Oryctolagus cuniculus: one gene and its partners. The protein of the gene in region 1 interacts with the protein of each later gene in a biochemical or structural test. Links are inferred from orthologs where the notes say so. Each region holds a gene or a part of one and is shown in the gene's direction. Other genes may lie near its edges. The genes, in order: NCOA6, THRA and TGS1.

Region 1 (3,662 bases):
CTGGGCTTTTTGTTTTATCAACCATAGCTTGAAAGGGGTGGGACCAGATATCTGGAATTTTTTAGCTATATAATTCTCTGAAAGTAAAGGTTATAGAATTACTATAATTGGAAATGAGAGAAGATATATGAAGAAGCAGATTATTGTAAGGATCTGAATGTGTAGGGACCTGATTCAGGTTCTAAATTTCTATATGCTGAGAATTCATTTATTACTTTAGCAGAGAGAGAGAGCTCCCATCCACTGGTTCATTTCCCCAGATGCCTGCAACAGTTCAAAACTGGATGCTGGGAAGTCAGTCTAGGTCTCTTAGTGAGTGGCAGGAACCTGATTATTTGGGCCATCACCACTGCCTTCTAGGGTATCCATTAGCAGAAAACTGGAGGCACTCCAGTATGAACCATGGACATCTTAACTACGAGGCCAAACACCCAACCCTGCTAAGGCTTTTAAGATAGAATCTATGTGGCTTGTGAAACTACACAGAATATAATGAGACAAAATACTTTCTAAAAGTGGGTGACCAGGGGCAGGCATCCCATATGGAATTTCTGGGTTAAAGTTCCAGCTCTACTCCTAATTCCAGCTTCCTGCTAATGCACACCTTGGGAAGCAGCAAGTAGTTGGATTCTTGTCACCCATGTGGGAGATCTGGATTGAGTTCCTGTCTCCTGACCTCCTAACTTCAGTTATTGAGGTCATCTGGGGAATGAACCAGAGGGTGGAAGACATCAGTCTCTTGTTCTTGCTCTCCCCCTGCCTTTCAAATAGGTTTTTTAAAAATAAAAATTTCAAAATAAAAATAGGTGACTGAAATGAGGGCCAAGGAAAGAAAAGCTGGAGGTGGTAAAGAAAGGTGCAGGTAGGAGTGGGATTACTAACAAAGTAAAAGATGTCAATACTCTGGTTCTTTGGGAATGGATATGTTAATAAATACACTTTTGGCTGGCGCCACGGCTCATTAGGCTAATCCTCCACCTGCGGCGCCGGCACACCGGGTTCTGTCCCGGTTGCTCCTCTTCCAGTCCAGCTCTCTGCTCTGGCCCGGGAAGGCAGTGGAGGATGGCCCAAGTCCTTGGGCCCTGCACCCGCATGGGAGACCAGGAGAAGCACCTGGCTCCTGGCTTCCGATCAGCGCAGTGCGCCGGCCGCAGCGCACCGGCTGCAGCACACAGGCTGCAGCGGCAATTGGGGGATGAACCAACGGAAAAGGAAGACCTTTGTCTCTCTCTATCTCACTGTCCACTCTGCTTGTCAATAAATAAATCAATAAATAAGTACACTTTCTTCCCCACTAAAAATGTAAATTACAAGTAAAAAGGAAAGCATCCCAAAGCCAATAAATATGTATGCAAATACTCATTCTGCAGCAAAATTAACTTTGTTGAGAGTGTTTTCCATCTTTCTCTGTTCTTTGAATACCATTTCCATCAGCCAACTTACAGCCTTTCTCAAGGTATTAGGAATTATTGGAGTTACCACTGTAATATTCACAAAAAAGAATATGGACTCCCTAGTTGACCATGATAGCTGCACTGAAGATAGTGTGGTTGATGGCCCTAAACTATGGTCAGGTCTTAAAACATCTAAGGGGTGGATGAGTATATGAAAATTGATGTATCAGAGATTTGTGAAAAGTACTTTGAATAAATACAGTGGTATTTCATTAAGTGGATTTAAACATTTTATGAAATTGTCAGGTTATTTTTTATGCCAACATTGGATATTTTATCCATACTAGAGAGAGGTAAATAAGGCTAATGCAAGCAGATTCTGGTTCTTTAGAAATAGGGGAGGTGTTAAACTAATTTCATGTATTTTCTACCCAGCTTATTCTCAGATATGCTGCTTATTTTTTTAGCACCCCAGATACTCGCCCAGCTGGTCTGGAAGATGCTGATCAGCAGCCATTGCCTGGAGAACAAGGGATTAACTTGGACAACTCAGGCCCTAAGCTGCCAGAATTTTCAAACCGGCCACCAGGTGATAAAATGTTAGCTAAAGATTAAGTGCTTATCATCATGTGTGTGACTTCATTTTCTCCAAGGAAATAGTAGAGGGATTTTTTTCCTCGGTATTATTATTTGCTAACCACTCTACTTCATGTGTCTAGCATTTTGAAATGTTGTGTTAATACTAAGTAAAAATTTCCAATATGACTTGTGAAGATTTGTACATTATGTTCAGATTTGTCTTTGTTATTTTAAGTTCTCATAAAAATCAGAAGGAAATAAAGATTTGTTTATATATATAAATATATACATATGTAAAAGAGACACTCATGTGCCTACCACCCTGCTTAATAATTTGATACATAGTACCCATACTATTGAAGTCCCCCTCTCTAATTGTAATATTATTCTTTTTTTTTTTTTAAAGATGTATTTAGAGGACAGCGCCTGCAGTGCCAGCATCCCATATGGGCACCAGTTCCAGTCCCGGCTGCTCCACTTCCCATCCAGCTCTCTGCTATGGCCTGGGAGAGCAGTAGAGGATGGCCCAAGTCCTTGGGCCCTTGTGCCAACATTGGGGACCCGGAAGAAGCTCCAGGCTCCTGGCTTTGGATCGGCCAAGCTCCGCCTGTTGCAGCCATTTGGGGAGTAAACCAGCAGATGGAAGACCTTTCTCTCTCTCTTTGCCCTGCCTCTTAAAAAGATTTATTTATTTATTTGAAAGAGTTACACAGAAAGAGAGTGAGAGAGAGAGAGAGATCAATCTTCCATCCACTGGTTTACTCCCCAAATGACTGCAATGAAGCCAGGAGTCAGGAGTTTCTTCCATATCTCCCATGTGAGTGCAAGGACCCAAGCACTTGGGCCATCTTCCACTGCTTTCCCAGGTTCATTAACAGGGAGCTGGATCAGAAGTGGAGCAGTCGGGTCTAGAACTGGTGCCCATAAGGGATGCCGGTGTCACAGGTGGTGGCTTTACGCATTTCACACAACACCGGCCTCAATATTATTCTATAAATGTTGAAAAATTATGCTGTAAAGTAAAAAGCTCCTAAAATTCATTCATTCAAAGTATTATAGAACAAAGGCCAACTGCCACAGTCTCTATTCCTGGCTGCTGTTCTGACTTGCAGCCTTATCCCTGGGACACAATGAAGATCCGCAAGCCCTTCACACTTAGACCATTCTTCCCCTGTGGAGGAAGGGCCATGTTTTGATTTTTTCCTCGTTATTCTACCTCCTTTTTGGCATGTAAATAAGAGTGACATTCTTCAAGTGTAAACTTTAATCCACCCATAATTTATATGTCTTAAAAGTGAATATTGTTTTCTAAAGGGAAATCCATCCTGATATCAAGATTTTGTGTTATTTACTAGTACTTGCGTTCTCATCAGTGAGTTGCAGCAGTATCGTTAAGGTTGGGAGGTCACCAGTCTTGGGCAAGTGGGTCCAGAAAGCATTGTGAGCACCCCTCAGAAATCTCATTTCTTCTTGGATGATTCTTGGGACCCTCACACTCATGTATTGCCCCTTTTCTGCAAAGTGGGAGCCTCCAGGATAAATTTGGCTAGTAATAGGTTTGAATTGCCAGACAGTATCTTAAAGCAAAACAAACCCTGAATTTAAATGTTTTTAAAATAGTATTTGCTCTGTGGTTCAGCACCATCTACGTGACTCCTGCTGTGTTTGGCTAGCCCACTTTTCTTCCTT
Region 2 (2,341 bases), on another chromosome or scaffold:
AGCTGGGCAAGTCACTGTCTGCCTTTAACCTGGACGACACAGAAGTGGCTCTGCTGCAGGCTGTGCTGCTAATGTCAACAGGTACCTGCTGGTCGGCTGCGAGGGCTCGGAGCGGGCCGGGAGCTGGGCCTGTGGCTCTCCCCCCCTCCTGGATCTTCCGATCTCTCTGCTGCTCCGGAGCCCATCCCCATCACCCAGGTCCCTCTGTCACGTAGCCTCTGCTCCGTCACCCCCCTATACCCCTGTCCCCAACCTCATCTCATGCCCCTGAGCCCCTGCTGTGTGTCCTGTCCTGTCTGCCCCATGCTTTTCTCTGGGACCCATCATCTCTGTCGTTCACATGCCCCTTAGCGTCTGTCCCCAACCCCCTGCTGTGCCTTAGTCCCATCTCTTGTCCCCTGGTGCCCTCCACACCCCTCCTCTCTGACCACCACCCCTCCCCAGGTCCTCCCTGTCCCCAGCTTCACTCTCCCGTGCCAGGCCCACCTTTCTGTCCCTCTGTCCTCTGCATCCATCCACGGCCCCCTGGGAGCTTCAGTCCTGTGCCCCGAGGTCCCGCCTGCACACGATTTTCTCTCCCAGCCCCTGTGCCTCAGTCTCCCATCCCCGCCTGTGTTTCTCAGCCACTGAGCCCTGGCGCCCTCCCTCCCTCCCCCGCAGACCGCTCGGGCCTGCTGTGCGTGGACAAGATCGAGAAGAGTCAGGAGGCGTACCTGCTGGCGTTCGAGCACTACGTGAACCACCGCAAACACAACATTCCGCACTTCTGGCCCAAGCTGCTCATGAAGGTGACTGACCTCCGCATGATCGGGGCCTGCCACGCCAGCCGCTTCCTCCACATGAAAGTCGAGTGCCCCACCGAACTCTTTCCCCCACTCTTCCTCGAGGTCTTTGAGGATCAGGAAGTCTAAAAGCCTCAGGCGGCCAGAGGGTGTGCCGGAGCTGGGGGGAGGAGCCTGGAGAGAAGGGGCGGGGCTGGGGCTGAGGGAGACCCCACCCCCACACCCCTCTTCTCTCCTTCCCGCTCTCCCTCGGATAGATTCCGCTCCCATACACACACCCCACACTGCCCAGGTCCCCCCTCAGAACCTCCAGCCCTGGGACAGGGCAACAAATGAACTTGCTATGAAAAGGACAGTGTGGGAGGCGGGGGGAGACCCAGTCCTCTGAGAAGCCAGGGGAAGGGAGAGAGAAACAGAGTGGACAAGCCATCTTGACTGTAGGGAGAGGAGGAAGGTGGGAGGGGGCAGATGCCCTCAACTCTCCCCCTGCACAAAAGAGAGAGACAGAGAGAGAGAGAGAGAGAGAGAGAGAGAGAGAGAGGGACACCCTGCCCAGTCCCTTGGCCGAGGTGTCCCCTCCAAGCTAAGGCCTCCTGCTCCCCCAGATGCCTGGGCTCAGAGGACGACTTGGCTCGGCGCCTCCCCTGGGGGTTAAATGTTATAGTCATTCTAACTGCACTTTGGAAACAAGCAAGGGGAGAAGATAGATGAAGAAAAACTAGACCAAGAAAAAGACAAAAAAAGAGCGCGAGAGAGAGCGAGAGCGAGCGAGAGCGAGCGAGCGAGAGAGATGATATTAAGTTATTAACTAAGGCTGGCCAGAGGGGAAGGACCCCCCCTTACCACCCCATGCACTTTGACAGCTGCCCTTCCTCCTCCTCGAATCAAAGAGAGTCCCTCTCCCAGCAGACCGCACCGGGAGGGCTGCCCATCAGAGCTGTGAGCTGACACAACAGGGTCCTGGCCACCCCCTTGCCTTGCCCCTCCCCCTGTGCCCCTTTGGCACCCCCAGCCCAGTTCTTCCTCCGCTCTCTGCCACTCGTGCCCGCTGAGTTCCATCTACCTCTCACGCTGGATGCCAGTTGGCCCCTCACCTCCTGTCCTGCTGCCCGCACAGCTCCCCATTCAAGTGCCCAGCCCCAGGGGCCTGTCCCTGTCCCCCGCCCCTCACACACACACACGTGCACACACACACACACGCACACACACGCACACCTTGGCACCCACATGGGAAAAGCTGTGGCTGCGGCTTCCGCCCTCCTCATGTCCTGCAGTATTAGCTATGGTCCAGATGCTGCTGCCCGGGGCGGGAGCTGTGCGTGAGCATCTCCCTGAGTCCCAGCCCCTGGGGGCGGGGGCTCGCTTGCCCTGTTTCCTGGTCTGTCTTCTGGGCTCTCTAACCTCTGCCCTCCTCCTTCCCTGCTCCTATACAATGCGCTCATCCTGACTCTGGGTGGGCAGGCACCAGAATGGGGGTGTCCGGGTCAGTGGCACTACATTGGGGCCCTGGGGGAGGGGTGGTTGGTGCTCCTCCTTTTTTCCCTTTGATGCTCTTCAGA
Region 3 (2,697 bases), on another chromosome or scaffold:
CTCTTTGGGAGAGTAGGACTTGCAGCCTGGATCACAGCTGTCTTGCCCTCAGGTGTGGTCCCAGTATCTTATAAATATTGAATGAATGAGAGGATAAGATGCAAAGAAGGTGAACAGGACAAAGATGGTCAGGAAAATTTGTCTTTATTTCTCTTCCTTTGAGTTTAGTTTATGTCATTGGAGAAGTCAAGTATGGTCTTTCCCATAATAGCAAAAATGTCTGAAACAACTAGTATTTCTGCCACAGAATATTGTACTTTACACCCACTTGGGAAGTAACAGTGTACATTTGAAAAGCCTAATTGTTTGAAAGACTTAATTGAAAAGCTAGATCATCCTATTAATTGTTAAAGGAATATGAATGAAAGAATTGTTTTGAAATAGTGTTTATTGTGTGGTTTTCTTCTGTTCATCTTTGTAGGTGGCATCCTTAGCTGGACCTGGAGGGCAAGTGGAAATAGAACAGAATTTTCTTAACAATAAACTGAAGACCATCACTGCCTATTTTGGTGACTTAATCAGAAGACCAGCCTCTGAAACTTAATTGTGAGGCAGTACAAGGACAGAGAGGTCACCTGGTAGTCAAAACATAATTCAGATGAGAAACTTAGAATGTCTTCTTGAACTCACTGATACTTTGTACTCAAGGTCTTCTATAGCCATATGGGATGAAAACTTATAGGAGCTTCAAGAATATTAATGAAGTGCTTTGAAATTTTTGGACAATATTACTATGTACAATAGGATAGTAAGTGTCTGATATGGAAAAGGGAAACTTGCCCTTGTGGTTAATTTTAGGGTGTGTCTTTGTGTGTTTCTAAAATTTTATACGTTTTTACATTTTTGTGGATGTATATATGTAAAAAACAATTACTGTTTTTTTAAAAATAGATATAAAGAAAGTAGCAAATGAGGTGTATTCTACTCATTTAAACCCTAGTAAAAAAATAATGTTGCATATTTAAGGTAGTACCAAATGGTACAAATGAAAAATTGAGTCTCCCATTCCCTCCCCTACTCATTATTCACCATTCTGAATAATCACAGGTAACAATGTTTTATAATTCCTTGGAGGACAGAAAGGAATTGCAGTATGCCCTATGACACTTTTTTATTGATGCACTGTTCATTTTCTTTTTCAATTTAATGCTTAATGTATTTTTAAGTATAGACTTTTTATCTTGAAGACCTTTGGGTATCAGTACATCCATATAGATCTACCTCATTTTTTTAACGACTGCCCTGTACTCCATCTTCTGGATATGCAGTAATTAGTTTAACCAGTTCCTTATGGATGGCTGTGGGCTGTTTATAGTATTTTTGCTGTTATCAATGATTCTGCACTGTCCTTGAGTATAACATTTATTACTGAACAGATGCACTGTTATGCCCATAAAGTTGCACATTTTGATTTTGGTAGATACGGTCAAAATGCCTCGATAAAGGTGGGCCCACTTGTACTCTGACCCACACTAATTAAAATGCACATTTCCCTCCACCCTTCCCTGCCTAGCATTTCATTATCTGATGGGTGAGGAAATTGATAAATTACTGATTGTGTGTGTTTCCTTAATTATAAATGAGATTAGTGATAATTTTCATGTATTTTGTCCTTTTTTGTTTCCTTCTTTTGAAAATTTTCCCTTGAATTGTCATTTTCTTATTAATATATATGAGTTCTTTGTCAATTAAAGAACCCTCAGTCCTTAGTAGGTGTTATAAATATGTCTTTCCAGTTACTGCCTTTTGACATGTTTTGGGTTTTGTTTTGTTTTGTTTTGTTTTGTTTTTTATACATGTATTTGGGCCAGGCATAAGTTTTTAATTTTAATGTAATCAGGCATTCTTTTTTCTTCAGCCTTCTGAGTTTACGTCATTTTGAAATACATTTCCTACTCCTAGAATATACATTTCTTTAGTGTTTTCTGGAATGTTCTTGTTTTGATGTCTTTGATTCGTCTGGAATTTGCTTTTTAATATTTCATTTTAGAAAGTGTTTTTAAAATTTCCATTACAAAATCAATGTGAAATATATTTTGTAATACAGAAGTTTGTATTTTTTCTATTAAAGTGGCAAAGAAAGGAGGAATGTGTGTTTAATTATTTGTCTAAAAAGTGTGCTCATTTTTATAAATAGATATAGAACTCTGACTAATATGGATTGGATCTGAAACCGTTATCTTTTAATAATGTAAGCTTGTTAGACATTAAACAAAATACAATTTTGGCTGAGATGGGGCTGGGGAAGTTGAAATAAAGTGGAGGAATTTCTAGTAAGTACTGGAAAAAAGACAAAAATAACTTATATTAAAAGAAAACTTTGTTGGTATATGCTAACTTTATAAGTTATGCCTGATTGTGCTGCGATACAATATCAATTCAGCTGCCCATTAAAGATGGAATTACTTTTTTATTAATTTGCATTAGCAAAACCTATGCAAATGTTCTTGACTTCCATATTTTTTCTTTATGTAGCATCAGTGTATATATCAAAAACTTGCGAAGTTTTTGAATATTGCTACTAGCATTGAATACCACTTCCAGGCCTAACATGTGACCCTGCTTAGCCATTTGGGGTGCCAGGTAGGGTAAAAGCAGATTTCCAAAATGAACAAATTTTTCAGTTTTTTGTCATTTAACATAGCATGCCTATGCTTCTTTAATATGTGTTATTGTACATTATTAATACCAAAATTA

What was found.
Region 2: the proteins of NCOA6 (region 1) and THRA form a complex in vitro, tested with the Homo sapiens proteins (2 studies listed by BioGRID). The link is inferred for Oryctolagus cuniculus from reciprocal best matches to the Homo sapiens genes NCOA6 and THRA.
Region 3: the proteins of NCOA6 (region 1) and TGS1 form a complex in vitro, tested with the Homo sapiens proteins (2 studies listed by BioGRID). The link is inferred for Oryctolagus cuniculus from reciprocal best matches to the Homo sapiens genes NCOA6 and TGS1.

Annotation. Positions count from the first base shown.
Region 1 is NC_091442.1:23,354,749-23,358,410, forward strand, and holds part of NCOA6 (nuclear receptor coactivator 6), read left to right. Parts: intron 1-1,861; coding exon 1,862-1,983; intron 1,984-3,662. UniProt on the Homo sapiens protein: Nuclear receptor coactivator that directly binds nuclear receptors and stimulates the transcriptional activities in a hormone-dependent fashion. Coactivates expression in an agonist- and AF2-dependent manner.
Region 2 is NC_091448.1:22,348,155-22,350,495, reverse strand, and holds the end of THRA (thyroid hormone receptor alpha), read left to right. Parts: coding exon 1-81; intron 82-660; coding exon 661-911; 3' UTR 912-1,690; downstream 1,691-2,341.
Region 3 is NC_091437.1:81,055,332-81,058,028, forward strand, and holds the end of TGS1 (trimethylguanosine synthase), read left to right. Parts: intron 1-421; coding exon 422-544; 3' UTR 545-2,085; downstream 2,086-2,697. UniProt on the Homo sapiens protein: Catalyzes the 2 serial methylation steps for the conversion of the 7-monomethylguanosine (m(7)G) caps of snRNAs and snoRNAs to a 2,2,7-trimethylguanosine (m(2,2,7)G) cap structure.